3 linked regions of the Callithrix jacchus genome follow. The protein of the gene in region 3 interacts with the protein of the main gene of each other region in a biochemical or structural test. Links are inferred from orthologs where the notes say so. Each region holds a gene or a part of one and is shown on either strand. Other genes may lie near its edges.

What was found.
Region 1: the proteins of STX3 (region 3) and SNAP23 form a complex in vitro, tested with the Homo sapiens proteins (3 studies listed by BioGRID). The link is inferred for Callithrix jacchus from reciprocal best matches to the Homo sapiens genes STX3 and SNAP23.
Region 2: the proteins of STX3 (region 3) and SNAP25 form a complex in vitro, tested with the Homo sapiens proteins (2 studies listed by BioGRID). The link is inferred for Callithrix jacchus from reciprocal best matches to the Homo sapiens genes STX3 and SNAP25.

The regions. Positions count from the first base shown.
Region 1 is NC_133509.1:30,172,867-30,183,856, reverse strand, and holds the start of SNAP23 (synaptosomal-associated protein 23), read right to left. Parts: upstream 6,273-10,990; 5' UTR 6,189-6,272; intron 4,761-6,188; exon of another isoform or gene 4,653-4,760; 5' UTR 4,556-4,652; intron 4,034-4,555; exon of another isoform or gene 3,908-4,033; 5' UTR 3,867-3,907; intron 1,700-3,866; exon of another isoform or gene 1,621-1,699; intron 1-1,620. Other genes in the region: ZNF106 (zinc finger protein 106), read left to right, coding at 10,851-10,937. UniProt on the Homo sapiens protein: Essential component of the high affinity receptor for the general membrane fusion machinery and an important regulator of transport vesicle docking and fusion.
Region 2 is NC_133506.1:17,321,379-17,332,399, reverse strand, and holds the start of SNAP25 (synaptosomal-associated protein 25), read right to left. Parts: upstream 5,582-11,021; 5' UTR 5,462-5,581; intron 1-5,461.
Region 3 is NC_133511.1:117,088,232-117,098,480, reverse strand, and holds part of STX3 (syntaxin-3), read right to left. Parts: intron 8,819-10,249; coding exon 8,710-8,818; intron 7,847-8,709; coding exon 7,773-7,846; intron 7,562-7,772; coding exon 7,427-7,561; exon of another isoform or gene 6,322-7,426; intron 5,515-6,321; coding exon 5,404-5,514; exon of another isoform or gene 5,285-5,403; coding exon of another isoform or gene 5,174-5,284; intron 3,578-5,173; coding exon 3,494-3,577; 3' UTR 3,464-3,493; intron 277-3,463; coding exon of another isoform or gene 229-276; 3' UTR 1-228. UniProt on the Homo sapiens protein: Potentially involved in docking of synaptic vesicles at presynaptic active zones. Apical receptor involved in membrane fusion of apical vesicles.

The sequences.
Region 1 (10,990 bases), on a different chromosome or scaffold from region 3:
TGGAGGCCTGCTAGGAAGGCATGATTCTTTTTCCAACTATGAGGACATGAGATTTGAAAGGGGCCAGGGAAGATGGGTACAGTGGCCCAGCCGAGGCGGGTAGATTATGAGGTCAGGAGTTCTCAACCAGCCTGGCCAATATGGTGAAACCCTGTCTCTACTAAAAAATACAAAAATTAGCCAGGCATGGTGGTTCAGGCCTGTAGTCCCAGCCAGTCAGGAGGCTGAGGCAGGAGAATGGCTTGAACCCAGGAGGAAGAGGTTGCCGAGATCACACCACTGCACTCCAGCCTGGGCGACAGAGTGCAACTCCATCAAATAGAAAGAAAGAAAGAAAACGAGAGTGCACACAAGCAAGCAAGCAGGGGCAGAATGATATAGTTTGGCTATCTATAATCTCATCTCAAATCTGGTGGGAGATGATTGGATTATGGGGTGGTTTCTCACATGCTGTTCTCAAGATAGTGAAATATGATGGTTTCATAAGGGTCTCTTCCCCCTTCACATCTTGTGAAGAAGGTACTTGCTTCTCCTTTGCCTTCCACCATGATGATAAGTTTCCTGAAGCCTCCTCAGCCAGGCAGAACTGTGAGTCGATTAAACCTCTTTCCTTTATAAATTACCCAGTTTGGGTATTTTTTTTTTTTTCGATTCTGAGTCTGTCTCCCAGGCTGGAGTGCAGTGGTATCATCTCCCTTCACTGCAATTTCTGCCTCCCAGGTTCAAGTGATTATCCTGCCTCAGCCTCCTGAATAGCTGGGATTACAAGCGCCGGCCACCATGCCAGGCTAATTTTTGTATTTTCAGTAGAGATGGGGTTTCATCATGTTGGCCAGGCTGGTCTCGAACTCCTAACCTCAAGTGATCCTACCACCTCATCTCCCAAAGTGCTGGGATTAGAGGCGTGAGCCACCACGCCCGGCCTCGGGTACTTCTTTGCAGCCCTGTGAGAATGGACTAATACAGACTCCATTCCAGGAGATGACAAATAGCAAAAGGCAAAAGGATACTCCCTTCTTGCCTTTTTTCTCCCCAATTTTTATGTCTTTACGTTTCCTCCCGTCAACTGCCCTTCCTAACACCGTGATGGCTAATGATTAAAGAAGAAAAAAAGGACGAGGTGAAAAAAACACTTTACAGTACTTTTCCCCCCGACCACTCCAATCCCGAATTGTGAAATTCATTATTTAACTGATCCTCTTATTTGTGCAGTAAAGCCGCGAAGTAAAGGTGAGCTTTTACAGACAGCAAGGACTATCCAATACCAGGAACCTCAGAGTCCTTCCTCAAACCATTATCTCAGAGCTATCTGATCACCGTGGTCACCATATATGCAGTCTACTAATGTCAACCCCAGCAGCACAGTGGGAGTGAGGGGCGGGAGGAGATCTCTGTTTAATTTCGAGGAAGGGTCCAGGGAACCACCATCCAGCCACCCTTCCTCCACCTCCTCGAGGTTCTCCCGGCGCCTCCCCTCCTAGCTTCGGGCCCATCTGCCGAGTAAGGGCCAGGGCGCCCCCTCGTCCGCTTAAGCCTGACCCAACCAACTTTTCAACCAATACCATATACTCTCAGACTTCATACCGGTCAGCTCCCTCCATCCCACTCTTGGAGACTCACCAAGCGGGTGAAGCCACTCCTCTCCGGCCGCTGTAGCTGCGACACCCCAACACCAGACCTGGCGCAGTGCCCTAGTAGCGCCTGCGCGCGCCCAGGCCGCGCGCCTGCGCACTTCCCGTGCGCCGCGGACGCGAACACACCCCTGCAGCTGGAGCCAATCACGGTGCTGGGGGTTTAAATCTCCCTGCCACGCTGGCGGAGAGCCTGGGAATTCATCAGTTAACCGGATAGATTTCAGTCCTGCCCGAGTCTGGGAGGTGTTCATTCAATAAACATTTACTGAGGGCAAACCGTGTACCAGGCACTGTGCCAGATGAACGCTAAGGAAAAGAAAGCGAACAGAAAGCTTTCTCTGCCCTTCAGCGCCTTTCAATCTGTCTAGACTAAGATATAGATATGTAAACAAATTATAGTGGATGGAATACAGTGCATAGTACATTGAAAATCCGAGGCGTCTTTGGCTGATAATAAACAAAGCGTTTCATTCTTAGGGGTCTCTGGAAGTGTTCCCGGAGGAAGTGACTTGAGTCATGAAGGATAAGTAGGAGTTACCCCGGAAATCCGGCAGAGAAGGAGCTAGAGTTTCCCAGGTTCTGGGGAACAACTTGTGTCAAGAACAACATAACGCATTTTGGAAATTTCTAGCAGTGTATCCTCGCTAAAGGCTTAGTGCTAATCGTACATCCCCGAGTGTAGAGGAAGAAAGCTTTAAAAGGTCAACAATGGCTAGATTTTGGAAGGTCTTGGAATTTTGGACTAATTTGTACTATGCGCACTGAAAGCTATTGAAGGGTTTTAAGCAGATGGGTGATTATTGTAAACCATTTGCTGCAGGAACCTTTCCACGCACCTCTAAGAATAAAACAAAGTGCTGGAAATCAAGAAAAGAAAGTGCTTCAAAAGGAAGTAGTCTATTCCTAAGGTATCAAGGAGGACGAAGCCTGAGAAATGTTTAAATTTAGTAACACAGTGGTCACTGATTATCTCAGTGAAAGCTGTTTGGTGAAATGCTGGGGTTGAAAGAAACAATAGTTTGGAGATGGGGGAGATGTAGAGATAGGGACAGGTTGTAGAATGCTTTTGGAAAGGTTGGCCTTGACAGGGAGGAAGGAGGGAGGATGATGAAGGATCAAGATTTTTTGTTTTTGTTTATTGGATTTTTTTTTTTTTTGAGACGGAGTTTCGCTCTTGTTACCCAGGCTGGAGTGCAATGGCGCGATCTCGGCTCACCGCAACCTCTCGCCTCCTGGGTTCAGGCAATTCTCCTGCCTCAGCCTCCTGAGTAGCTGGAATTACAGGCACGCGCCACCGTGCCCAGCTAATTTTTTGTATTTTTAGTAGAGACGGGGTTTCACCATGTTGACCATGATGGTCTCGATCTCTTGACCTCGTGATTCACCCACCTCGGCCTCCCAAAGTGCTGGGATTACAGGCTTGAGCCACCGCGCCCGGCCTAATTTTTTTTTTTTTTTTTTTTTTGAGACAGAGTCTTGCTCTGTCGACAGGTGCCAGGCTGGAGTGCAGTGGCGGGATCTCGGCTCACTGCAACCTCCGCCTCCTGCGTTCAAGCACTTCTCCTGCCTCAGCCTCCCAAGTAGTTGGGACTACAGGCACACGCCACCATGCCCAGCTAATTTTTGTATTTCTAGTAGAGATGGGGTTTCACCATGTTGGCCAGGATGGTCTTGATCTCTTGATCTCGTGATCTGCCCACCTCCCAAAGTGCTGGGATTAAAGGCGTGAGCCACCGAGCCCAGGTGTTTTTTTGGGTTTTTGTTAAAATTAAGACAGGAGAAATTTGAGCACTGTAGGGAAGATTCAACTGAGAAATAATGTTCGAATAAAGGAAGAGAAGGGATAGTCAGTAGGGAAAGTTCTTGAAAGGGTAAGAATAGCAGCAGTTTCGAGGCAGTTCAAAGCACTGGTGAGAGGAGTGGTTTTGGAAGAAGTGAGGGAGGGAGAAAGAGAGAGAGTGAAGATACTTCCTTCCCCAATTATGAGAGGAAGAATGTGTCTGTTTGTATGTTTAGTAAAAGGAAGTTAAAGTTCTCATTTGATGACCTGTTTTCTCTGTGAGGTTGGAGATAGGATCATCTGACAGAAAAGGAGATAGTATTGGGAGTTTAAAGGAAAGTTGAGAAGATTTGGAATATTGTAGAAAGTAATACAAGAAATGGATAGAAAAACATTGTAGGACTGGTAAGCAGTACTGAGGGCCTTTTTAATATGGGCAAAAATGAACTCACCATTTTCTCCCTTCCTGTGTAGCTTTCTCAAGCAGTAGTCACTTTTCAAGGGCAGAGGTGGAGAAAATGCACAGTTGAGTTCATTTAGGGTTGGGATGGTCATTGATAATAATTCCATGGTTCTCAACCAGGGACACTTTTGTCCTCCAGAGGATATTTAGCAATGTCTGTGATAACAGGGAAATGGGGGGTGGATACTACTGGCATCTTGTCCAGTGATGCTGCTAAACATACACACACACACACACATACACACACACACACACAGAGAGAGAGAGAGAGAGAGAGAGAGAGACAGACAGAGAGAGAAAGAGAGACAGGGTCTTGCTCAGACTGGAGGGCAGTGGTGTGATGTTGGCTCACTGCAACCTCTACCTCTGCAGCTCAGATCCTCCCACCTCAGCCTCCCAAGTAGCTGGGAGTACAGGTGTGTACTACCACACCCGGCTAACTTTCATATTTTTTGTAGAGATGAGGTTTCACCATGTCACTTATGCTGGTCTCAAACTCCTGGACTCAAGCGATCTGTCTGCCTTGACCTCCCAAAGTTCTAGGATTACATATGTGAGCTAGTGCTCCCGATCTGCTGCTAAACATCTTATAATGCACATAATACCCTTGACAACAAAAAAGTATATGTTCCAAAAATGTCAGTAATCCCAAAGTTGACAAACACTAAAGTAGCTTACCTTAATAATCACCAATATCTGACTGTGGTCTTCTAAAGGCTTTTCCTTGAACGATGGGCCAGAGTTTACAGGGCAAAATAGTTCTTCCATTGCATGCCTTTGAAGGAGAGTAAAATGAGCAGCATACCATAGCCCTTGAGTGTTTCAAGGACTTGTGATGTCACAAACACAGAACTGGAAGTTTCCTGAACCTCTAGAAGCAAATCTGGATATACATAGAGATGAATGTAACTGCTCACTTTTATTTGAGGCATTGACGGTCTGGTTAAACAGAGATGTTATAATCTCAATAATATAAGAGGAACACTTCACATAATGATCAACCTTAATGTCATTTCCTTTATCTGATTAGTCTCAGTCACTAAAATTACGGCTCTGAGGGAATGGGTATGAGCTAAGTTTAATAATAAATATAGGCGGCTGGGCACAGTGGCTCACATCTGTAATCCCAGGACTTTGGGAGGCCGGGGCGGGCAGATCACTTGAGGTCAGGAATTTGAGACCAGCCTGGCCAACATGGCGAAACCCCATCTCTACTAAAAATACAAAAATTATCTGGACATGGTGGTGTATGTCTGTAATTCCAGCTACTTGAGAGGCTGAGGCAGGAGAACTGCTTGAACCCGGAAGGCAGAGGTTGCAGAGAACCAAGATAGTGCCACTGCACTCCAGCCTGGATGACAGAGTGAGACTTCGTCTCAGTAATAATAATAAATGTAGGCTGGGCGCAGTGGGTGACACCTGTAATCCAGCACTTTGGAAGGCTGTTCACTTGAGCCCAGGAGTTTGAGACTAGCCTGGGCAAGATGGTGAAACCCGTTTCTACCTAAAAAAAAAAAAATTATAAATACCTTAGGCATGAGTAAGAATAAAACCAGTTATAATGGAATGTCTGCTCTGTGATAGGCAGCATTCATGGATAAAACACTTGACCTATGTTATTTAATTTTAGCAACACCCTGTGAGATAACATTGTCTTAATTTTAGGGTTTTTTGTTTGTTTTTTTTTTTTTGAGACCGAGTCATGATCTGTTGCCAGGCTAGAGTGCAGTGACGTCATTTCGGCTCACTGCAACCTCTGCCTCCCGGGTTCAAGCGATTCTTCTGCCTCAGCCTCCTGAGTAGCTGGGACTACAGGCGCCCGCTACCATACCAGGCTATTTTTTTTTTTTTTTTTTTAAGTAGAGAAGGGGTTTCACCATGTTGGCCAAGATGGTCTCCATCTCCTGACCCACCCACCTCGGCCTCCCAAAGTGTTGAGATTACAGGCATGAGCCACCGTGACTGGCCCAACATTATCCTAATTTTAACTCAAGATCTTGAGGTTCCAAGAAAAATTTTAATTTACCCAAAGTCGTAAATTATTAGTAGCTAGTCCGAGATCTGAAACTCGGGCAGGTCTGTCCTAAAAGCTCTTGCACCTCCCATTAAATTTTAGTAAATTTTACAAGGAAGGAGTTATTTCAAATTTTAGCCTGAACAGTTGCCACTGACTAAAGGAAATGGCGGGACACCAAGGAAGGAGCTAGAGGGAGGCCGGGAAAGAACAAGGAGAAATAAAGAAAATGAAAAAGGGACCAGGGAGACTGTTCATAGCGTCCAATGCTGCGGACCGACTCTCCCGCAAGCTGACCTGCCTTTGTTCTTCCTCCATTCTTTTTGAGAAAAACCTCTTCCTGTGTGTCCGTTGTTCACTCTCTTGTGTTCAAATAAAGCTAGATTATTGAGAACGGCTGCAGGCAAAGGAAAAAAAAGAGCGTGACGGCCTCGCTGTGCGCCTGCGCGCTGGCGGCGGCTGTGGCAGGGCCCGGCGGGGAGCGGGTCCGGAGCAGGCTCCCGGACCCAAAACTGAAGGGGGGAGTCTGGGGCGTCAGGGAGCTCCCTCGCCTGTCTCTCGGCGGCCTGATGGAGTAAGAGGGGTTGGCTGTGAATGTGAGTATCGATGGGCCGGCCTGCGTTGAGCGTATTGGAGCCCAAGGGTCCTGGTGGTCTGTCCCTTAGGGAGATTGTGTGGCTGCAAGACGCGGCCCGCTTTCTGCTCCGGCAGGCTGCGGCGCAGGGGTAACCCAGCGGTCCACTCTCCCAGAGCCGGCGCGGGATTACAGGCAGGCGGTGCTGCTGGCTTCGGGGTACGGATTTTCGTGGGGGCGTTCCAGCTCTGCTCCCAGCCCCAGAAGGAAATGTGGCTCCAAAGCCTTGACCTTTAGGGGAAGCCGCTGACCTTCGGTCCTCAGTTGGGCAGGGAGTCCAAAAGACCCTGGTGCTTAAAGCCGGTAGTCTCAGGTCCCGCGACACATTTCAACCTCTCGCGACTGACAACCTTCGTTCCTTTTTCTCCTTTCCTTTCTCTCCGTGTGTGATGTATCTTAATAATGGCAACTAATTATGGAGCGGTTACTGTGTTCATTTAATATTTAGTCAGAATCTCGGTTTATAGTTATGGAGAGGAAACGCTTTACACCCTCCTCCCATTTCAGTTTGTTGTTTAATCATCTTTGAGAGTAAGATTTGTTGAGAAGTTCGAGATTCGCTTTTAGCAACTTGAGACTGCCATTCTAGGTCAGGGAAGTTCTCTTGCTTAGCAAACAAGTGCTGTATCCACCGTAATGGTTTATATCCAGCCTATTCAAACCACAAATAACTTTTGAGTACTTACTAAGAGTTTAGTACTGTTGTAAATCCCATGGGAAACCTTAAAATTTGCTTTAAGGGCCGGGCGCGGTGACTCATGCCTGCGATCTTTGGGAGGCCTAGGCGGGTGGATCACGAGGTCAAGGAGTTCAAGACCAGCCTGACCAAGACGGTGAAACCCCGTCTGTACTAAAAATACAAAAAATTAGCCGGGCTTGGTGGTGGGCGCCTGTAATCCCAGGACTCTGGAGGCTGAGGCAGAGAATCGGTTGAGCCCCAGGAAGCGGAGGTTGCAGTGAGCCGAGACCGCGCCACTGTACTCCCTCCTGGGCGAGAGAGAGGCTCAATCTCAAAAAAAAATTTTTTTTTTTTTTGCTTTAAGGCCCGTTCTCAAGTTTGGTCGTGAATGAAATAAGGGACGACAGTATTCAGATGCAACTAGAATTTATTTAGTATCTACTACACAGTTGCCAATTACATTTACGTGTGTCATAAAAATATTAATGAGATATTGTAATGGAAAGTAGGTTTCTGCAGCATTTCAAATGAGATCGCTGGGATTTTGCTAGTAATTTGCTCAAGCTAAACTAGCTAGAGTAGGTGGTGAAATTCACTTAATACGATTCCAAAAGCACGTCTTTTCCCAAGCAAACTGCATTACAGTTACAGTTTCTAGAGTTAACTTTTTTTTTTTCCCGGAGACGAGTCTTGCTCTGTCGTCCAGGACAGAGTGCAGTGGGGCAAACCCTGCTCACTGCAATGTTTGCCTCGCTGATTCAAGCAATTCTCCTGCCTTAGCCTCCCCAGTAGCTGGGATTACAGGCATCCACCACCACCCCCGGCAAATTTTTGTATTTTTAGTAGAGACACTGTTTCATCATGTTGGCCAGGCTGGTCTCGAACTCCTGACCTCAGGTGATGCGCCCACCTCAGCTTCCGAAAGTGCTGAAATTACAGGCTTGAGCCACCTCGCCTAACCTGGATCGTTTTGAGTAAAAGGAAGATACTAAAAAGACCATAGATTTCATCTGATTTTTATCTCTGGAATTCTCTTTTAATCTAGAACAGTTACCTTTTCCCCTCTCTTTCCCTCGATACCCCCTCCACGTGAGTTGTTGAAAGGACCTGGTCAGTTATCTAGATTTGTCCCTGATTGGTTTCTGGTGATAGCATTTCACTTGCTACTACAAACTGGAAGTTAGAGCAGATCACTTGATATGATTCAGGTGAAACTGAATAGCGATTATTGTACATCTAGATTAGAACACATGTAGTTTGAAGGCTGCTCGACAAGAGTAGAAAGGAATAATGGTAGATGCTAGATGATTTGGTTTTGGGACCAGGAATGGGTCAGTGAGAAGCCTATGCATTGTGTTTTGTAATTGGAGAATCTTGGAGAGTTCAGGATTAATTGTGTACCCAATGAATAAGAGCATCGAGGCAGACAAGTTACATATGAATACTCTACTTGGACCTCTAGCATGTGAAATCACTAGTGAAGCCCTACAGTCCAGTGTGTGTGCATGCATCTATTAATCTGAAAGAAACTATCAAGAAGTTCCCAGGTGTTCATCAGTAAAGGATTGGTAAAATAAATGTATCCATGTGCTGGAAAGAATGAGTCAGCTCTATATGTGCTAATATTGAGTGACCTCAGATATAGTGAGAAAGAAAAGGTGCAAAAGAAGGTATGCATTTTGCAACCACTGTGGTTTTATAAAAATATATGTATTGCATATACAGTTGGTCCTCCATATCCGTCCATGGGATCTGCATCCATGGATTCAACCAACTTTGGATGGATAATATTTGGGGAAAAAATTTTCATGAAGCTCTGAAAAAGAAAACTTGAATTTGCTACCTGCTGAGTACGTACTACATTGCATCCACAGAAATGAAGTTATGTGTAGGCATTGTAGTAGGTCTTGTATGTAACGTAGAGATGATTTAAAGTATACAGAAGGTATGTGTAGGTTACATGCATATACTATGCCATTTCACATAAGGGTCTTTAGCATTCTCAGATTTTGGTATTGAGGGGGATCCTGGAACCAATTTGCCATGGATAGCGAGGGACAACTGTATGTGCATAGAATATCCTCTGTGGAGTACAGTCAAAATCATAGAGGCAGAAAGTAGAGTGGTTGCTAGGGGTTGGGGAAGGGGGAAATGAGGAGTTATTGTTTAACGGATATAAAGTTTCAGTTACGCAAGATGAAAATAGTTATGGAGATGGTTGGTACTGATGTACATTATGAATGTATTTAATACCACTAAACTACACTTAAATGTTTAAGATGGTAAATTTTATATTATATATTTTAACGCAAAATATTGAAAAGTATCTCCAGAAAATAAACTTCTAAGAGTGGCTAGAATTGGTAGTGGCTAGGAAACAGAAGGGACTGGTAATCACGTTCCCTAAAAGCTTTTTTTTTTTTTTTTTTTTTTTTGAGACAGGGTCTTGCTCAGTCATCTAGGCTGAAGTGCAGTGGCATGATCATGGCTCACTGCACCCTGAAACTCCTGGGCCCCAGCAATCCTCTTCCTACCTCAGTCTTCTTAGTAGCTGGGACTATAGGTGTGTTCCACCATGCCCAGCTAATTAAGAAAAAAAAATTTTTTTTTTTTTGGCTGGACATGGTGGCTCAAGCCTGTAATCCCAGCACTTTGGGAGGCCGGGGCGAAGCACGTCATGAGGTCAGGAGTTCGAGACAAGCAAGAACAACATGGTGAAACCTGGTCTCCACTAAAAATACAAAAATTAGCCCATGCCTGTAATTCCAGCTACTCAGGAGGCTGAGGCAGGAGAATTGCTTGAACCCGGGAAGCAGAGGTTGCAGTGAGCCCAGATTATGCCACTGCACTCCAGCCTGGGCAACAGAGACTCCTGGGACTACAGGTGTGTACCACTAAACCTGGCTAATTTTTTGCATTTTAGTATTGTATTTGTATGTTTTGTATTTTTGTATTTGGCCTATTCTTGACATTTAACCCCTAAATATTTTAATGTCTCTAAAAAAAGAACATTTTCCCACACATTCTAATATAATTACAGTGAATAATAAGTAATTTCTCTATATTGTCTAATACTCAATTCTTACTGTCTAATACTCAATCCTTACTAAAATTTCTCCAGATTGATCATTTTTTAAAACTTTTAAAATCCAGTTTCTAATCATCGGCCACAGATTTAATTTGATTTTTATATCCCTCCAAGTCTCTCTTAATCTAGTAAAGTTACCTTTTTCCATCTCTTTCCCTCAATACCCCCTCCACATGACTTATTAAAAGGATCTGGTCAGTTATCTAGATTTGTCTCTGATTGGTTTCTGGTGATGTAATTTCACTTGTTACCACAAACTGGAAGTTAGAGCGGACCACTTGATATGATTCAGGTGAAACACTTAGGGACTATATCATAGACCATGTTGTGTGCTTTAGCTTTCCAACTATTATTAGTGCTGAGATTGATTAGTGAGGTCAGATGCTGAATCTGAGTTCTCCATTGTTAAATTAATGTCTCTGTTTGAAACCAGCTGTAAGCCCTTTTTTACCTTTTACATTTTGAAACGACTAGCATTAGTTATATTCAAAATAGAAGTGATTACTTTTTTTTTTTTTTAAGACGGAGTTTCACTCTTGTTACCCAGGCTGGAGTGCAATGGCGCGATCTCGGCTCACCGCAACCTCCGTCTCCTGGGTTCAAGCAAGTCACCTGCCTCAGCCTCCCGAGTATCTGGGACTACAGGTGTGCGCTACCATGCCCAGCTAATTTTTGTATTTTTAGTAGAGACAGGGTTT
Region 2 (11,021 bases), on a different chromosome or scaffold from region 3:
TAAGGAAACCAAGTTCAGCAGTGGTTGAGTGACTAATTTAAAGACTGTGTGATTCCAAACAGGAATAACTGTACAAGCAGTTATTTCAGGGCTAAAGCTGGGTATCCTGGCTCTAACCAGTATCCTTACCTTCAGGCCTTGCTACCCAGTAAGGAGGAAAAGGCAGCAAAGAAAAAAAATGTCATGTGTACTCTCTATTCCTTATTTGGCCAATATGAAAAATGTGGATGATGCAAGAGATATCATAAAATATACTTCATAGTTTAATCTCTAGAGTCAGACTGATCACAGTTAAGTCCTGGCTCTGCTTTGTGACAAGTTACTTACCCTTACTGTGCCTCAGTTATCTCATCTGTGAAATGGAAATAATAATAGTAATCTGACCATAAGGTTGTTAGGAGGATACAGTGAGCAGTATAGGTAAACACTTTTAGAATGAGAGTCACATTCTTTTCCCCCATATGCCTATTCTGATTAATCACTGCTTTGGGTACCTCTGTCCTTCTAAATCAACTTATGGCTTACTAAGTGTGTTCAAATACTATATCTGAACATACGTGTTTGTGGGTTACACTATTTATTTAGAAATCAGAAATTCCTTGGACTTTTATATTGGGTGAAGTGCATGAGAGCCTTGTGAAGAAAATTATGTAGGAAGAGTAGGTATTATTGTTAAGGCAATAATAGCAATTCTGAGGAGTTCACAGTGCAGCTGGGGTTCTCTAGAAATTTCTACGAAGCCTTTTTCCTCTTGTAAGACTTTTTTTGTTTTAACTTTTTGTGCACTCATCATGTCCTACTTCCTCAATGCTATGTCGTACCTCCTCCCTTCACCTTACCTGATGCTTATGTGGCCCTTGGACTCAGTTTAATAACCACCGACCTGATCTCCTAAAGCATCAAATGCCACTACCTCCAAGTTTCCCCTAGGTAGTCAGCTTGAATATCAAAATGTTATCCTGTGGCATCTCTACTGTCAGTGTTCTGGTGAAGAATAGATAAAGATAGTCTCTTGATGCTTCATAGCCAGAAATGAAATGGCAGTAAAATCTATATCTGTCATTGGCATTTCTTCCTGTGTACAAACCCACTGACTATTTTGGCTTAACAATTCTATCAGCATTTGGAATCCTGAAGCTCTGCTGTGAGAATAGTAACTACAAGGTTAGAAACAAAATGGGTGTAATTCAGACCTCGAGGTAACCCTGAAGTGAGGGTAAGTAGCAAGAGTCAGCAAGGTGGGCAGGGAAAGAAATTGGATATACTGCCGACCCCAGTTTTTCAAAATTCTACAATTCCATCTTTTTCCTCCCATTTTTAGCCTCTTGGGGCTGATTCTATTTGTATTGCTGCTCAAAACATGCTCAGAACTAATGACTTTTTTCATCTTTCTAGTCAGTGTACTTGGTAATGCTGAATACTCAGAGAGAGCAATAGAGTGTTCTACACCATGTTTATTATTCAAGTGCACCTTCTGGGACTTTCTGGGACTTCTCATCACCAGATTCCTGACCTTCTTTTCAATCTGTCTGGCAAGTACTCAACTTGCATAATTTCTTTTAGTCAGTAATGGAAAACTGAAACTTGCAATTAACTCTCAAGTAAGAATTATATAACTATGTATGTATATATATATATATATATACATCCTGCAAAGTGATCCTAAAAGACGTTTCAGTGAGAACTGATTTTTTTTTTCATTAACTGTCTCTTATGATACCAATTTGCTCCTTTCTTCTTCTGGAAGAATGCAAATTAAATCCACTCTGTTAATAGCAATTTCTGGATATTAAGAAGGACCTGGTCATATTGTTTTTTCAGCTTCTGCTCAGAAATAAACTGTAGAGGATATAGCATCAAATTCTTAGCTTGACATTCAAAGCCTTCCACAGAAGGCTCCAACTTTCCATCCTAGCCTATTTCCTCCAAGCTTCTTACTCCACCCAAATTGACGGGCATTTTCAGGGTTTGCTAACTGTAGAGTGGGCTTGCCTAATGTGATGTTTTGCATATGCTGTGACTTCAACTTAGCAGAATTCTCCCACCTCTCTGCAAGCTCCAAAAGCCACCTCAAGGCCTGCCTCTTCTCTCAGGTGGTCCCACTCTACTGTGATATTGCCCTCTTGAATTTATGTTCCCTATTTTTGGTCACATTCACTTGGAAATTAATCACATATATCATAATAATTTTTCTTCTCATGTTTTATTGCATTTTCATTCTGGTTTTATTTATTAACTTATTGTTTATTGCTTTTATTAAGATTGCTAGATACTAAACTTATTAAGGTCAAGGCAAAACCATGAGATTTTATATCTCCCATGGGATTCATTTATTTATCTGGTGCATACAAGTTGATCAATATCTTTCTATCCGGTTGGTCCTTGCTGACAAGGGATGACATTGCAGAAATGTTTCTAGTGCTGAGGCTTAAAACATGGATTTTTCCTTCCTTTATAGAATTGTAAAGCAGTCCCATAATGTGAGAAACATTGTTTATTCACAGTGCATTATCTAAAAAGCAGATTATCTGTTTTTCTTCTTCATGTCTCCTCTCTCAACCTCTTACTCAAATTCTTTTTCTCATTTTTACTCATTGTCAAAACCTACGCTGTTAGGCTGAAGGCTGACTGCTACGCAGCTTCTAGGTGTCACAGGCAGAGATATGTCTTTCAGCTGATAACACTCACTCAAGGGTTAACATTTAGAGCTTAGGAATGTCTTTAGACAAGCTAATTAAGGGGTAGTTTGTATTGTGTTTGTGCATGTGTGGTCGTGCGTGTTTAACAAAGTAAAATAAAATTGTAAATTTTGGGGAGATTTTGCCATGAAGAGGTTAAGAGGATTGTAAGTTGTTTTGTAATTTGAACGTTGAGGTGGTAATGCAGTAAATGTCGATGAACAAAAACAGGCACCGGAGGGTCTGTGTGAATGACTCTTGGCTCATCCTACGTCCATCTACGCCTGCCTCTTCTCACCGCATTGCCCTGGATTTTAAAAATTCAAACTTAAAATAGGAAATTTCTCTATTTTTTCCCCCTGAAGCTTGTCAATGATATAAATGTTAGATACATAGTTCAATTATATATTTTTTAAATTTCTCAGTAAGCTATTCTAAAATTAGCTTTCTAATTGTGCAAATTGCTTTTTCCCCTCAGCTCTGTGCCCTTTGCCATCTTTACTGCAGTCCTCTACTTCCCCCCCTCCTTCCCAGTTTTCCACTAGCAAACAAACCCAGCAGTAATTGCTAATGTCCAAGCACGTAATTCTGGCAGCATTAGGCTTTTCATTTGACGCAACTACGCAGAGAGCTGTCTGGACATGCAGCATGAAGTTAAAGCATTTTTAAAGATTCCTGCCCATATTTTCTTCTCTTCTCTCACCGCTAAAACACAGTTGTTTATTTATTTTGTCTGCAGATGCAGAGTTTTAAACTTCTTTTATACATTTACATACTCTTATATAAATGTCCACTCGAATAATTTTACATCCATGCACAATAACAGATCAACATATACATACATGGAAACACATGGTCATCCACAAAAAGAAAAAAACACTAGGAAATAATTGAATAGCTAGGAATGAAATCGCCTTCTGTATATGAACAGGGAACTTTAGTATCTGTAGTTTACGGAAGATTGGAGGTATGACTATCTAAACACAATCCAGGGTCTAATTTGGGGTCCTTTAAGGGGATCATTATAGCATTTCTTTAATGTGTTGTATAGATTCTTACATATGACGCTGTTACCCTCTTTTTGCTAACTACTCGAATGGCGTAATTTTGATACTGGTCATTTTATGCTAGTTTTATCTATATTAAACAGAGAGAAGTATCCCTGATGACTTTTGCTTTCTCAGATGCTCCAAGCCTCAGAATGGAAAATGGTTAAAGTAGTTATCACCACCTCAGCAAAATCCTGCAGTGCCATAAGAGAAATTGCAGTAGGTCTTTTAGGTCAGAGTTCAGTTCCAGTCTAACACCATGGTTCTTTACCTGCATTACCCTGAAGAACATAGTTGGATTCTCCTGAGGAAGACCAGGCTTAATGTTTTCAAAATCTGAAGCTATCAGCCTGCAATAACCAATGCTGATAGGAAATACTTCCAGTAACTCTGAAACCATGGCCAAAGAGGTTATACAGTATGGGACCTGTAATATTTATCAGATGTGTTTTTGTGGATGAATACTTGTGTTCATGCCTGATTGCAAGATGGGGGGAGAAGGAAAATAAACAGGGATTCATTTTTAAAGTTGATTCTGCTTAGTTCAGCTAATCTCAAATTGTTATCAAATGGAAACAGGTAGAGAGACGTATCCTCCCTATAAACAGATAGCATTGGCTTCTTCATATATACACTACTTATGCCCACCCAAGATCTGTAGACAGACCTACTCTGTGTTAAAAAACAAAACCCTTGATACCGTGCTAAAGGATAAATGCATATTTTTAAAAATGTATCTATTTTCTACCTAAAATAAGAGGCAGAAGGCAACACAGATTTCCACAAGTAGATTATTATTTTGTTGAAGCTATGAAGGTGAGGAGGGAAGCAGAAAATTGTCGGCAAAGGAGTCTCTGTGAGCAAGATTTATTTCTTTCTTGTTTTCTTTTAACCTACTATGACTGCTCTATTAAGAGTCTCCGTAAGACCGGGGTCTCAGAGAGACAATTTGGTCTCCAGCCCTGGCACATCCAGCCCTGGCCAGGCGTTTCTGCCGCAGGCAGATGCGGCGTTGCGGCCGGACCGCTGTCCCCGGTGCTGAAAGGTCGAGGGCGCCCGCGCGAGCCCTTGGTATTGCTATCCAGGGTGCTGAGCGCGGGCCGCCGCAGTCCCCGAGGCCAGCCCACCCGCGCCAGCCCTCCGCAGAGCCCTCCCACCCGGCACGACCCGCCCGCCCCCCGCCAGCCTGCAGTTGACGTGGAGCAGGCGGCATAAATCAAGTCCGCGGGGCATGGAGGCTGCTGTCGCTGCAGTAGCTCAGCTTGCCCGGGGCGGGAACTCCCCCTTCTCCTTTAGCCTCCCCAGCACCCACACCCTGTCTCCCCCTTAATTCTTCCCTGGATAATAGCACCCTAAAGACAACAGTCCTAATAATAGGGTTAGAACGACGTGGGGGGGGAACCCAACAGCCCTAAACATCTCTGAAAACTGCATGGCAAAATGGAAGAAAGAGGGGGTCCCACTACTGTTTCAAAAGAGTAAGTTATTCGGTACGTATCCTCGCTCTTCCTCCCTGTCGCTCCATTTGCAGGGCTCCCGTTTCCCCTTCCCCCGACAGCTCACCTCAAAAACACTTTATAAAGCCCCCACCAGACGTGCACACACGGAATACCGCACCCTAAGTGCACCAATACTTGTATTTACCCAAGCCCATTCGGACTGCCCAGCTGCTGTCCCTTCTGGGTATGCAGCCATCCCGAGCCAGAGCCACGACCTGGGGAGGGGGCTTCTTACCTGGGCTTCTCGGGTGGATGTGTTCTCCGGGCCTCTGCAGGTTGCAAGTGTGGAGGAGCCGCGGAGCAGGGAGGGAAGGAAAGACTGCGCCTGACCTCCCCGAGGTTTCGTCTTCAATGCAACGTGAGCTCTGCCCTCATCAAAGATGGCCGTCCGTCTTGACGTCAGCAGCTTTTAATAGCCGCCCGGCGAGGGGCGGGAGGAAGTGGGGGCGGGGCACCGGCGGGGGCGGGGGCGGGGCCCGAGCTGCGGCGCGCTTGACTCGGCTCCCCGTGCGCTGCCCTGCAAACAGCCGTGTTTTCGCCTTCTATAAACACCCGAACGGGGCGATTCTTGTGACTCCATTTTAACACTCAGTCTTGGGCAAATGCGTTCAACCCGCGACTGTATTGCTGATGTTCTCTGGTGCCTGTATGTGTACATATGCGTATGTGTATAAATGCATGTGTGTATATACTTTATAATACATGTATTATATGTATATATTTGTGTGTGTGTGTGCGCGTATGTGTATATATATATTTCCCCACATCCCACCCCGTTCAGTGGAATCTGTGGTTGAGTCATGTAAGGAGAAGGGAAGGTAGAGGAGGGGTAAAAGGTAGTGATGGGAGGAGTGGGGGGAAATTTTCAGCGGCGATTTGTTTCCTCCAAAGAGGGTCCGGAGGGGCATCCCCGTCCACCCTCGCCGGCTCCATATATGGCCAGGCTACGTGGGTTGCTATTTTTATGAGTGACTTCTTCATGTTACCGAAGCAGCGTCGAGGGCTTGCAGCTCCCTTTGCTGTGGTCAGCCGGGGAGCGAGGCTGGCGCACGTTATTTTGAAGTACGTCAGAGCCAGGCTCTCTGAGCTGTGGCAGGAGTCGGGGGAAGGAGAAGGAAAGCGGAGTTAGCCCAGCCAGCGTAGGTTTGCAAAGGCTGGGGGATACAAGTTGAGTTGTTTGCCTAGGGCAAAAACGGAGGACGCTGCTTTCGGTGGAATTTGCAGTCGGCACTCGGGTTGCGTGCTGGGTGTCTTAGGGGTACCCTACGGAGTCAGGGATGCCCCGAGGAAACCGTCCTAACCGCCGGGGGAGGTGGGGGCTTAGAAACAAGGACAGCTGGGACGCCGCCGAATCTGGTGGTTCACTGAGTACCTGTGCAGGCCTCCTCGGGGGCCCTTGGGTGCTCAGATCAGGGCGGGGAGACAAAGGCTACTTGTGCTGGTCATATTAGAGATTAAAAATGATAATGATAAAGCAACAATCCTAACTGTCCTTCCTGGCCGTGCACAGGTCTGGGGAGGGGGTGGTGCGCGGATAGCTCGGCGGTGGCCGCCTCCCGGATGATTCACAGATGTTGGGGAGGCTGTCGCCGGGCTCTCCACGGGTAGGGAGGGCTGGGGAGCGCGTGGGAGGTGGGGGACCTCGCCTGAGGAACTGTTTGTACTTTTCCGGGAAGGATGTGATTAGAAGTCGTGCCTCGCAATGTTAAAACTTGATGGCCTCTTTTAGGAGATGGAAAATCCTTGTCTCGCTTAGGAGAAACCATTCAGAGCTGGGTTTGGATAAACGGCGTGCAACCTCTCCCCCTGCACACACCTGCCCCACCAAACACACACACACACACAAACACACACACACACACACACACACACACACACACATCCCACTGGCCTGAGAGCCAAGCTCAAGCAATAATACGGCCTTTGATTGCACTCTATTGCGGAGGGAGGGAAGCAGGGAGGGGGGAAAAGAAGAAGAGTTGTGAAGGCTCTGCGTTTAGAAAGAGTGGGGCTTTTAAGAATTTAATAAAGGATACCTTTAATTGAAATCAGTAGACATCATTGTTTCTTAAAGATTCTCTGGCCTGAAAAGTTTTTTTTTTTGACATATTAATGTTTGCCATAATAATTAACAGTGTTTGGATGTTTATTAAAGCCATATTCCTAAAAAAAAAAAAGGCATGTTGCTGAAAGTTTTTTACTTAAATATTCATTAAACACTTAAGATTTCCATACAATAAAGAAGAAAATCTGCAAAGTCCTTAGATACTAATTGTCAAAAGTCTCCTGATTATGGCTCTTACTTTCATTATAAACCAAGCTGGAATAGGGGGAAAGTGGCAATGAAAGCAATGTACTGCAAAATCCTTTATAGTCAGATTTTTTTTCCCCAAAATGTGACACTTTAAAAAAAGGCAGCATGCGGAAGTTTGAAGAGAAAAAAACAACCTGCAGAGAGAGAAACAAAATATCTGTATGGCCCTCAGACTAGAAATCATTCAGGCAGAAAGTTTTGTGAAGGAATGGAGGAGGTGGGGGATTTTCCAGGTTTAAAAAAAAAAAAAAAAGTTAAAAAGCAAGTATGTCAGTGATGGAGGCTTCTCCTGCAGGCAAAAGCTATGTGGAAGTCACAGGGAAGGACGGGCTTGGTTTCTGAGTTTTCAACTGCTGATGCCCCACACTGACATCTTTTAAAATGACAGATAGGAAGAGAGAGGTAGACTGTTTCGAGGCAGACTCTTTCAAGGCATTACAGAAAATACCATGGACCCTACAGGATTAGCTGGTGGCGGTGACAGCATTTTCTGTCGCTAGTGCTTGTTTTGAAAATGATGCTGTTTGAGAGGTTCTTCATCTTGCTCTGGGAAAGGTAAAAAAGTCTAATTTGGAAACATAAACATTGGGTACATAAAAGTTTGCTAAGGATAACCAGATAACCCTAAATGTATTTTGGATATGATAATGAGATTTTTTCCCCCCTAGGATTTTCTCATGGCATGATTAAAACAAAACAAAAACAAACAAGAAAACATCATCATTTTGCCAGTAGGGAACCAACAGATTCATGTTACTCAGGGTTTGCAAAGGCCTGAACCATACAGGGAAGGAACCATTGCTCCAAGATGGTTCAGCTGCCGTGGGTTATTTCTACAAAGGACCAACACAGAGTATCTAATCGTTAGGATGAGTAATGAGAAAATTACTTGCTTGGCTAGATGGATATTTACACTATGATAATTCAAGCCTCTGAAAGCTTTTTTGGTACATTATGCCCTGAAGTATTCTGGTTTGCAGTAGCTGTAGGTCCAAGGTATTTAGCTTGTATCTCAAAGGTAAGGTGCAACATTCATTGTTGACTCAATAATTACAATTTCATAAGGAATAATAATAAAAACTTGTCTAAAATCCCATGTGATCTTTCCAAAGTCAACTTGAAAATAGTTTAGAGATGGCCCAGCTTAGAAGCCCCCTCTCTAGGGTCCTCCTCTGGGAAATGCCAGGCACTCTATGACAATGTTTTCAAAACACTGTGAGGGCTCAAGAATATTCAGTTTGGGTGCAAGAATATTCAATTTGATATATCAACTGTTTTGATTCCTTGTTTGCTTTCTACATGGTTTGCTTGCCACTTTCTCTTCATATATTCTTCTAGCCCTTCACCCAGTTCCCCACCCCATTTATATATAGTGAAGTGCCTTAAAATGCCTAGAATAGTTTAGCTCTGGGTTTAAACTATCCAGGCTGTCCTTGTTCCCTGAAGCCTCTAAGGTGGATATATATTTGTGAGAGGTAAAAAGAGAACCAGAAATATTAGTTACAGTTTTTGTATTGCTGTGTTAAGAAAAAATATGACTGTGCACCCAGAATGTTAAATAACATTTATTCTTTACTACAGACAGTATTGTGGGAAGGAAGAAGGGGACTGCCCAGCAGCGAGAGGCTGGATGTTTCCACACTTTCATTCCTTGATGCAGCAAAATTACAGCCTTTCTTTTACAATGCATCCTGGGATCCTCCACAATGCTGATACATGCCTGTGGTCAAGTAGAAAGGAAGTACCTGTGACAATCAGGAACAGAGAAGCAGAGAAAATGGTAGTCCAAATTAATACATTTCAAAAAGGCTATTTGATAGGGTATCGCAGTATTCTTTGAGTAAATCTTTTAGGAATCATATTCATTCTGTAACCTCTTTGTATCTCAGTTATCTCTTAGGTAAAATGGAGACAATAATTATACCTAATTGACAAGGAAATTATGAAGCACGAAGTATCATATGAAGTATTGGCTAAATACAATAAGTCTATCATTTTGATGAGACTTTATTTCTCTAAGAAATGACATGTAACTTGGCTTTAATATGGAGGATTGCCTTTTTTCATTAGCTGTTAACTAGATATGTGTCAACATTCTGGGCCTTGGTTTTTCCATCTGTATGAACTTATTCATTTACTCAGTATTGAACATCTGCCATATGCTTGTCACTGGGGTCTCGGAAAAATTGAGTAGGGCATTGAGGGTTAGAGGGGTTAAATTACCTGGCCAAGGCCACAGCTAAGAAATGGTATAGCTTACTGTTGAACCCTGGGGCCCAAGCTCATAATTACTCTGTTTTAGTACAGCCTCTTCCAGCTCCATCAGACTCTCTTTTGCCCTCTGCAGCTACCTTCTCTGCCTCAAGACATTGTGGCTTGTGTATGCCTTTTCTCATTAGGGGCTTCAGGGTTTCATTTGATAGAGGGATGAGTATGATTTTCAGCTTTGGTTGGGTGAATAACAAGGTTTCGCTGGGGCTAATTTCAAGAAAGAGATCTAGGCTGTTAACCTGTGGTAAACAGAAACAACACATTCTAAGGACGGGAGTTCAAATTACAGTCAAGGAGGGAATTCAGAGATCAATATCCAATAAACTGCTTAAATAAGAATCGGGGCAGAACATGCTTCCAAAATATACCTAAGCGAGTCAGCCAGAGGTCAGAACACAATGGCAATGTGGATCAGTGGTTTTGAGGCAGATGATAAGTGATCTTCAATAAGAGTTGATTCCAAGGGTAGAGAACTCTGAAGGTGAGGATTGGGTTAAGCTGGGTTGAAATGAATGACTCAGGATATACCTGGGAATGGAGCAAGAATATCTAGTGCCATTTTGTTGATTCTAGCAGAGAAGGTCGTCACAGTTCTGCCAGCTCACAGGCACCAGCCTAGGCAAGGCACATTCTAATACATCAGCAGATTGCATCAATGATCTCTTGGTCATGTCCAATGGACTTTTCATCTTTATTGACTTCTAGGTTCACCTGACAGCATATACTTGCTCCTTCCCTTTCTTAAAGCTCTCGTTATCAGGTGCCTTCACCTCTGTTTCTCCGTTCTTTTTTGGCTCTTCATTTTCCATAGCAGATGGGTTGAAGCAGCAAAATTGTGATGCCCAGCAGGTTAAGCTGGACATTTCCTTGAGTCCTGCACAACCCCCCTGGGAGCTCCATATGTCCATGGAAACTGTCCTTACTCTCCACCCTGAAAGCCTCTGTGCTCTCAGCCAAAGAGAAAAAAATTGAACAGCTCTCATTTGTATAGCACTGTGCTAAAGAAATACAAAAGACTGCAAAGAACTGTCACACACACGATCTCATTTTATTCTTGCAACAACTCTCTGAGGTACGTGTAATAGTAATTATTATTTTAATTCCCATTAATACATGATTATCTTACATCATGCAATCAGTTGATAATGGAGTTAGAATAGGTACTGAAAACGTCCTATTCTAAATTCCATGTCAGAAAATACAGAATTCT
Region 3 (10,249 bases):
ACAGGACAGGGAGGAAGGAAGCAGGCTGGGTTCACACAGTCCAGGAGAAAAGGTACTTGAGAGCCGGTGGGGCAGGAGGAGGCTCTGAGGAGAACTCAGGGTCGCATCAGGTAGATCGCCTTCCCCCAGGGCTAGGTTGTTAGCGGAGTGTCAGGTCCAAGGGTGGTCACAAGGAAACAAAGGAATGGGTTGCACTCGCTCTCAAGGAAGGCCATTCAGACTCCATTCTCATCTGAAGACAAGGGTGGCCACACCAGGCTGGAGTGAAATCAGTTTCTAGAAGGCAGGAAAAGGAGGAGTTGATCAGTACAAAGGAAGAAGGCAAAGGGCAACAGAAAAAGTCATCCACAAACCGAGAAGGTGGGGAGGAAAGCCCAGAATTCACTATGAAATAGACAAACCCAAGACAGAACCTGGAGTTAAATATCCCACTATACAAAGATAACAAGCCCTACTGTGAGAGGGGGAAAAAAATAGAAAAGCCTCTAAGGCTTTTATAAGCCTTCTCACAGGCTGTCCACACCCATGAAAGGATGTGGTGGGAAGGAACGATCCCTAGTGAAAACACCTGCTCTGCAGGGCCCACAGCAGCACTCTCCTGAAGACAGGCTGCAGAAGCTCCTTTCTGGTTCTCAATCTTCATTAACTCCCTGCTGCCTTTCTTTTAGAAAGCAGAAGGGCACAATGAGAAGCATATGGAAAAAGTTCAGGGGTCATATTATGGCTGCTCCACCTTATGAGCTATGTAGCCTTGGGCAAGTTCCTTAACTTCATTGCTCTTTCCCCGTCTATAAAATGGGGAAGGATACTATGATCCTAGACCAAGCAGCTGGCATAGTACTAGGAAATATAAACACACTGTCTTCCCTCCATCCTGCTCAAAGACCTCTCTTCCTTGGGTGACATGGAGGAAGAGGGGAGTCCAGACCAAGGCAACAATCAGTCTTGACTTTATTAGGGAACACGAATAAACTACAATAAAAGCAGCTTAACAGTTGCCCAGCAATTTAGCATGTTAAATATAGAGTTAGTCAACCAAAAACAACATTTTAATTAGTCTGCTCCTCTTTGAGGAGTTACGTCCTCGAAAAATGATTCATACACATTCTGAAGTCCTGGAATTAGGAATGGAAAGGGGCACCATGAATTTGCATGTGATATTTCATCCAAGGATATGGGATAATAACAACTATTATATCTTTCTAAAATCTCAACATCTATTCCAATCAGATTGTTCGGAGCCAAAACAAAATTTAAACTTCACACAAAAAAGTCAAGTGCTAGTCTCCAAGTGCCAGAAAAAAGAAGGGGAAAAAAAAAAAATCAACTAACCACCTGTCTATGAGAGGCTGTTAATCTCACTGTTGTTTACTTTTCAAGATGAAGTTGAATATTCAATGCTATAATAAGCTGACTTTTAAACCCTCTGGTCACATGGAAGGAGGAGGAGTAAGAAGAGACACACTGAAATAAATATAAAAGGAAGGCACAGCTCTGGGTACTGCCATGGTTTTATGTGCCAAGTCTTAAAAATGTTTATGCCTATTATCTCAGTAATCCAACTCATATGAGTTTGTAATAAAGAGAAACTTTAAGTGAGAAAAATATTAAATAAGATTAGTCACACTGTCAGCTATAGCAAAATAACATAAACTTCCAACATTGTGAAAATGTTAAATATTTGTGAGCATGGCCACAATCTCGTGTTGACAATTAGATTTACAAAACGATTTTAATACTGTGGAATGATGCTTATGATTTTGTAACTGGGCACAAAACTATGGATAATATAATCTGAACTACATAAAACTATGTCTGAATGTGTGAACATGCCACGAGGTTATCAGCAATAATATTAAAAGTTGACTACTTTTATTTTCTCTGTATTTTATAGGTCAGTTTTTTTAACAATACATGCTATATTTTATTCAGAAAAATATTTTAAAAGTCACCGGCTGGGCACGGTGGCTCATGCCTGTAATCCCAGTGCTTTGGGAGGCTAAGGCAGGCAGATTACTTGAGTCCAGGAGTTCAAGATTAGCCTGGGTGACATGGCAAAACCCTGTCTCTACAAAAAATATAAAAGTTATCTTGGCGTGTTGGTGTACACCTATACTCCCAGCTACTCAGGAGGCTGAGGCGGGAGGATCGCCTGAGCCTGGGAGGCAGAGGTTGCAGTGAGCCAAGATCACGCCATGGCACTCCAGCCTGGGTGATAAACATAATGAGACAGCGTCTCAAAAAAAAATCTAAGTCACAAAAGTCTTCAGTTGCATATGTGGAGTAAAAAAGAAAAAAATAATAATTAAAAGTCTTAATAGTTCCAATAGCCAGATTCTTGATATGCTCACTATTATTAAATGCGATTCAGGCTGGGCACAGAGGTTCATGCCTGTAATCCCAGCATTCTGGGAGGCTGAAATGGAAGGATCACCTGAGGTCAAGAGTTCAAGACCATCCTGGTCAACATGGCAAAACCCCATCTCTACCTAATATAAAAATGAGCCGAGTGCAGTGGCATGTGCCTGTAATCCCAGCTACTCAGGAGGCTGAGGCAGGAGAATCGCTTGAACCCAGGAGACGGAAGTTGCAGTGAGCCTAGATCATGCCACTGCACTCCAGCCTGGGTGACAGAGCAAGGCTGTCTCAAAAACAACCAGTGATTCAGTGATATGTCTATCATTTTTAACAAGTTTTCAAAAAAATTAATAGTCTAAATTTTAATATCACTATCCTCTAAGGTTCTCCAGGCTTTATAGGTAATGATAATGGCTACCTTCTTTTACAAAGAGAAGCTAGGTCCCCTATTAGCTGTGTGAACTTGGCCCTGTTATTTAACTTCTCTTTGACTGAGTTTCTTTGTCAGTAAAATGTGCATCATACCGTATCTGTCTCACAGGATGTTGTAAGGATTCAATGATACATGCATAACGTGTTTAGTACATTGTCTGGTACAACGCAACACTCAAAAGTGTGTTAACTGTCATCATTTAAGACCCAACCAATCAGCAACAAAAAAAATCTGCAGACCCAAATTCTAACTCAGAGCTTCATTTACACTGAAAAGGAAACAGAAAGTAAAGCCCAACATCTATGAAAATCAGTAAGAATTCAGAAGACAGACCCCAGATCCAATGTACTCAACTTAGGAGCATGCTTCCTGAGTAAGGGGAGTTGAATGGGGTGCTCAGGTACGCTGGGAGAAGTGGTGAGAAATATGACAAGACAGAGTTTGGGGACAGAATCTACAGGATAGGAACAGAGACCTCACCCATGTACTGCAGCCAGAAACCAAGAATAGAACTGTAAAGAGATAAAGAATCCACAGGCTACCGAAAAGTTTTAGAAAGCTCAGTGTGTCCAAGGACAATCATAGTGGGAAAGAAGAAGAGTTTGAAATCCCAAGCTAATTTCCTCTTGTGGAGCCAAATCCAGAGTCCCCAAGAACCATTCGTTTACTTACATTTCAGTGCAGCAGCCTCTTAGGCCACTCTTATTTCAGCCCAACGGAAAGTCCGATAATCAATGCTAAAATGCCCAGCAACACAACTACTACCACAATGATAATTATCAATTTCTGGAGAGAGGAATAAGACAAAAACAAATTATCACAAACAACCAAAAAACAAAACAACTCATCCAAAACCCAACCCCTGTCACCTCTACATAGAAAACACCTTACCAATCTGAATGAGAAGCCAACATCTCTACACGCAGACATCCTTCTAGGATACTTTAAGACAGGGTTTTTCTCTATCACTCAGGCTAGAGTGCAGTGGTACGATCATGGCTCACCGCAGCCTCAACCTCCTGAGCTCAAGTGAGCCTCCTGCCTCAGCCTCCTGAGTAGCTAGGACTATAGGCATGCACCACCATGCTCAGCTCATTGTTTTATTTTTGTAGGGACAGAGTCTTCCCATGTTGCCCAGGCTGGTCTTAAATTCCTGGGCTCAAGTAATCCTCTCACCTCGGCCTCCCAAAAGGAAGGCTAGGTATGGTGGTTTATACCTGTAATCACATCACAGGTATAAACCCCCACACCCAGCCTAGGACATTTTACATTTTTTAAATTACTTACAGGCTAGCAATGCCAGCAGAGGGAAATATGAGGCTGCTCTCAGTTCTCAGCTCTCAGCTCACACTGCAGTTCTGCATACGTGGACAGATATAATCAGAACCACTATCATGGGGTCTCTAAGGAGCACTTGGCCAAGATAAAAAGTGGCTGACTGATTTTTCCCTTTTTCAGAGGGAATGTAAAGGCATTTTTGATAGAGTCCTGATTTCCTACTTTTGTCCATTTGTCCCCTAAAGTACACTTTTACCTGTCAGACCCAGTCCACTGCCTGGATATGAGAAAATGCCATCCATTCTGGATTCACCATGTCAAATAACTTCCCAGTCCCCTAAATCCCTGTATAAGCAATAGGTTAAGTTGGAAGAAAAACAAAGAACAACAGTGTCAGAGCCCAAGAGAACTAGCCAAAGGAGAAAAGTCTAAAAAGCAGAAGCCACCAGAGCTGGATACCCACAGTCATGAGCCCAGAAGCCTAGAAGTCCTTAAGCAGGAGGGGCACCAGAGGGTGGGCAAATATGGTGGTGTTGTAGAAAGAGAATGCCTGGGATCGAAACTTGAATTCCAGTGCCTCTACTCGCTGGGTGGCCTGAAGTCAGTTACTGAACCCCTGACCCTCAACTGTCTTCTTTATAAAGTAGAAATAACAGGTACTCCATTAGCTATAAGATAATGTATACATAGCAGTTAGCATGGGTAGAGAAAACTGCATACCTCAAGTACAAGGTAGAGAAAAAGAGAAGGGAGGCAGGGTTTGGGAGCCTGGAGTGAAAGACAATGAAGAGGGTTTCTGAACAGAGGAGTCAAGTGTAACATCTGAAAGTCTCATGAGCTAAGTCCAGGAGAAGATCAGCAGCAACACCTGGGCCATGCATCTATCCTACAGAACTGCCTTTCAAATGTGGGTTCCTGGGGAGATAGCTTGTGAGCCAGATCCATGCAAGGCACACCTGAGAAGGAAGGGCAGCCAGCTGGTATCTAGGAAAGGCTGAGGGAGGGGTTGATGAGGTCATGACAGGGAGGGTGGGCTCAATGACACAGGTGGGGATGGCCAGGGAGAGGAGAAGCTGCTAAGACAGCTGAGACTAAGGTGCTCACCCTCCGGGCTTCACTCTGATACTTGACAGCCTTTTTGGTATCTGCCACGGCCCGCTCCACGAAGCCCACTGACTGGTCCATGTTGTTCTCAATACGGTCAATCATGGATCCCTTTCCCCAGATGCAAGAGGTGGCGGCAGCAGAAACAGAGATAGGGAGAGGGAAGAGAAAGAGCGAGACACAGCTAACCAAATGGACTCTCTTCTCTGAAGGCAACAGGAGAGTCTCACCTTCCGGGCCTGACTCTGGTATTTCACAGCTTTTTTAGTTTCATCTCGTGCCTTCTCCACGTGGTCCACTGTGTGCATGACATTCAACTCTATGTTATCTAACATCTCACCCTGCAAAGAACAGACTCTGGTCACACACAGTAAATGCCCCAGGACAGTTCTAGCCAATGTGGGGAAGGGATTCTCTTTCTTCCCATCTTCAGTGGTTAAGAGGAGAATCCAGAAACCTTGATGCATGGCCTTCCAGAGGGCACGCATTCACGTTTTCCATGGGACTACCTGTGGCTCCTCAGTCCTTGGTGGTGGGTTGGGGTGGCAGTCACTTGTTCAAGAAGCTTTCACTGAATTTTCCTACTTCTCTGTGACCAGCACTCCACCAGGCATCCAGAACATACTGTCTAGATGCCTGGTAACTCCTTATAAATACACTCTGAGGTATCCCTGGACAACCTTTTTTATTTATTTTTCACACTTAAGCACATGGAGAAGAACCAAAATTAAGGATATCTCATGTTCTTAGGACATTACCAGATGCTGATCTCTTCCTGGTCATTCAGACCTCAAGCAACATCATTCAGCCTGAATTGAGTACATTCACTAACTGCAGAAGAGTGCCTGGCACACAGTAGGTACTCAATAACTAGCTGAGGTGGGGAACATTTGCTTTCTCTAAGTTATTTCCAGGCCCTTTAAGTGACAGACGTTGGGTTTACCCAGGCTATTTGGGTATATTTTCCCTTCCAGACAGTGGTCTCTTGATAAGATTCCCAACAGTCTCCTAGCAATTACTTCCTGACAGGGAAGTTTAATCATTCCAATGAATCTTAGGTGTCTTAGGAATTCTCCTCAACTACCCAGACCCTCCTCAACCCTACTCTGTCACTCTATGGCGGTCTGTAAACAGAACAAGGCACTTACCATCACTTGAATCTCAAGCCAGTTCCTCGGCAAAGCAGTGTGGGGGAAAAAGAAAAGGTGGGACGGAGGGACTTGAGAAATGGTCTCGGAGGCCAGTGGGGAACTGGGGAAACCACCCAGGCCCTCAGCAGGGAACCAACATCAAAAACCAGTCAAGCCGTGCTCGGGCTTCAACTAGGTTTTTGCAGTCTGCCTACTATGGAAGCAATTTTCTCTCCTATCCAGGTGTCAGAGCTGCTGAAAGTTCATGGCAATAGTGCACAGCACCATGACCCTGTGGCACACTTAACTGTCCCATAAGAACTGGGAACCATCTGACTACATGAAACTAGCACCCTATGCAGGCAATCCAGAACTCTATCCCAAGCAAGCATGCCTGGGACAAAATGAGCTGTCGAATTAAGCACCATGAGTGTTGTGACTCCTTCTGTAAATGCTATTTCACTACTCCTTCATTCATGTTGTCTGCTCTGTGCCTTAGTGAAAGGTGTCAAAATTTTTAGAAAAACACAAACAGGAAAAACAAAACAAAAACTTCTGTTAAACCTAAGCTTTCCCTGTAAACCAGAGAAAAGATCACATTTTCAATGTCATCAGTGAACTGGTCCATATCAGGAAACTGTTTTAAAGCATCACCATTAGGAACCCCCATCTCTGATTTTTAAAAAAGAAAAGAAAGAAAAAAGACAAATCCTAGGATGACTGCTTGAGCCTGGGAGGTCAAGCTGCAGTGAGCTGTGATCATGCCACTGCACTCTAGCCTGTGCAACAGAGCAATACTTCACCTTAAAAATAAAAATAAATTTAAAAATGTTAAAATCTGGGGGAACTAGGTAATTGACAGAACACATCAACCTCTATGTCAACTATCAACAACTACAAGGCCAAAAAGATGGACAAGAATGAAAAGGCCAAGATCACCCAAAGTGTCAGCGTTCAATTTGAATGCACACTTTCCCATGGAATTCTGTTTCTCTTTTATGCAAATTCCCAATGGTTCTCCCACCCTACCTCACTGGCTTCCAGAATTCCCTTCCTCCCTGTTCTCCAGAGACCCTGAGCTTTCCTCTCCTCCCTCCCCACTCTGGGACTCACTGCCACTTACCTGATTCTCCACCAGCATGGCGATGTCCATAAACATGTCATGAAGCTCCTTGATGCTGCTCTCCAGCCTCACAATGTCCTTGTGCCGTCCCTCAATCTCACTCAGGGCTTGCTTGGAAATCTGTGAGTCAATGATCTACAACAGGCCACACACAGAGAGACTGTCAGCTACCCCTGCAAGAAAGGCTGCCCCTGTCACAGCCCTCACACACACTCCTCGGGAGCTCCTTGCCTCCCTGAACTCCCTGCACCTGCAGCACCCCCTCCACCTGCTGGACCGCGTGAGCTCCACAGTGGCCTCCCTGCTCATGAGAGGGATATGCTATCCGAGCACACGGGGCACTCACCCCAGAAGTGAAGATGGCTGGGTTGCCACTCTCCAGCATCTCCTCCAGCTCCTCATCTGTTGTCTTTTTGCCGGCTTTATAACAAAAGAAGCAGAGCATCAAATATAAGATCACAGTGAAATACCATTTGATAAGGTCCCTGAAAACTAGGAACGTGACTTCCCTATAAAGACCATGGTCTTTACAACACTCCCCTAATTGTCTCCTGACTCATCTTATTTCTCCCCTAATCCAAGCGATCCTTAAACATTGTCAGCAGTTACCTTCCTAAAGCACATTATCTCATTACATTGCTTCCCAGCTCAGAGCATTTCTTTGCCGCATTCACTACACTATGGGATCCAAGGCCCTTATTACATGCCAGTTCGTGGGCAAGCCCTCCCTCAATCCATCCTAACCTTAAGTTACTCCAGACACACCCTTTTCCCAGACCCTGGATGACCTGCCACTCCTAAACACGCTTGCTCTTTCTTGAGTACGTTCATACCATTCCTCTCACCCAAAGCACCTTCCACCCCGAAGGGCCCTGCCTTCCTAAAGGGTATCCCTAAAATTCCTAAAGGGTATAACTTTATTTATTTCTCTATTCCTCCCAGCAACTTACACCACACTTTGTATTTCATAAATGTGCTTTGCTGTCAAACAGACAGCAGAATGATACAATGAGTCCACAGGAGAGCAACTGTTTGGCAAGCAATTCCCTTCTATAGAGGAGAAGATGCTGGACCCCATGCAATATAACTACTTGGGCCTGATAAACACGGTGTCACCTTTCAGCCTACAGCACAGCATTCAGGATATGCCAGTGCGATAGCATCTGCCCTAGACTTAGGCACAAAGTGTGGGTGCTGCTTGCTCCCCCAGGGCCTCAAAAATTGGGATGGATAACCAGGTGGCAGGAAAGGTGGAGGGCACACGCCAAACCTCAGGCACATACTAATTTCAAGCTGCCGCTGGATTCGCCCTTTGCTGCGTTCTCGGAAGTCCACCTGAGCTTCATTGTATTTGGTCATCACCTCCACAAACTTCCGAGAAAGAACAGAGTGCTGTGGGACGATGTAAAATGCAGTCAGCCCCCAGTGGTTCTGTAACTGTTATGGAACCCCTCCCCATCCCCACATAGCCGTCTACAGTAGCACTGGACTTGGAATCGACCAGGTATCAACCCAAGGTTTTTGTTTCCTAGCTTTGCGCCCCTGGGAGAGTCCAGCGCCCTTTCCAAAGCATGGTTTCAGCACCAGTTTACTGAAACCGGTTTACTGCTGACCTCACAAGGTAACTGTGAGGCCAGCAGTCATCTCTAAATCTCTAAGCCCTGCAGCCATATGGACTAGCAGCATTTTTGTGGCACAACGCTTGCATTCTGAAACTGTCAGATTCCCTTCCCACATGTCAAACTGACCAAAGATCCTTGAGTTCTAACCCTAAACTCATCTCCCCAACTTCTCTTGCTTCTAAGCAGATGTTCTCTCAACAGCCCTGGATGCCTAAGCTAAAACCTTCCTAAGAATTTGTATTCCTCACTCACCTCTCAGCATCAAGCCCTACTTACTGGTTTTTCATTTGGAAAATCACCACTATTTATACTTTTCCAAACCCACTACCACCATGCAAATTTAGACGAACGCCATTACAAAAACCTAACTAGGGACATTCCAGTCCCCTGCCTCCGTCCCACTTGCAAACAGTTTCTAAATGGCTACCATAATAGTCCTCCTAATATACCACCGCCTGAAGCAAATGCCTGTAAGTTCCAACATCAGATCCAAATTCTCTAGACTGCTCCTCAAAGACCTCTAGAATGTGGCACTACATTATCTACTAAAAATTATGTGCCCACTATCCCACAGCAAACCTTTTCCTCCGAAAGCCTATTTATTGTCTTCATGTCTGCCCCTTACGTCTACCCCCAACCACTACCAACCACCATATACCCTACTCCTGCCCCTGTACCTCTCAGAGCGGGGAGACTGCTTCCTGAGCCTGCTCACATTGGCACTCTTGGCCCAGCCTCCTCTGGCAACCCCCAGTTCTTCCTGACATCTTTGGACGCTGAGAGCACCATGCATGTGTCCTTTTTTGGTTTTTTTGTTTGTTTGTTTTGAGATGAAATCTCGCTCTGTCACCTGGGCTGGAGTGCAGTGGCACGATCTCGGCTCACTGCAACCTCCATCTCCCGGGTTCAAGCAATTCTCCTGTCTCAGCCTCCTGAGTAGCTGGAACTACAGGCATGCACCACCATGCCTGCCTCATTTTTGTATATTTAGTAGACATGGGGTTTTACCACATTGGCCAGGCTGGTCTCAAACTCCTGACTTCAGGTGATCTGCCCACTTCGGCCTCCCAAAGTGCTGGGATTACAGGCGTGAGCCACCGCACCTGGCCACATGTGTCTTCTTATCCCATCCTCCTGCTGGGTCTTAGGTAATAGCTTTCTATGCCACTTGAATGGCATGCCAGTTCTTTAAAGACAAGGA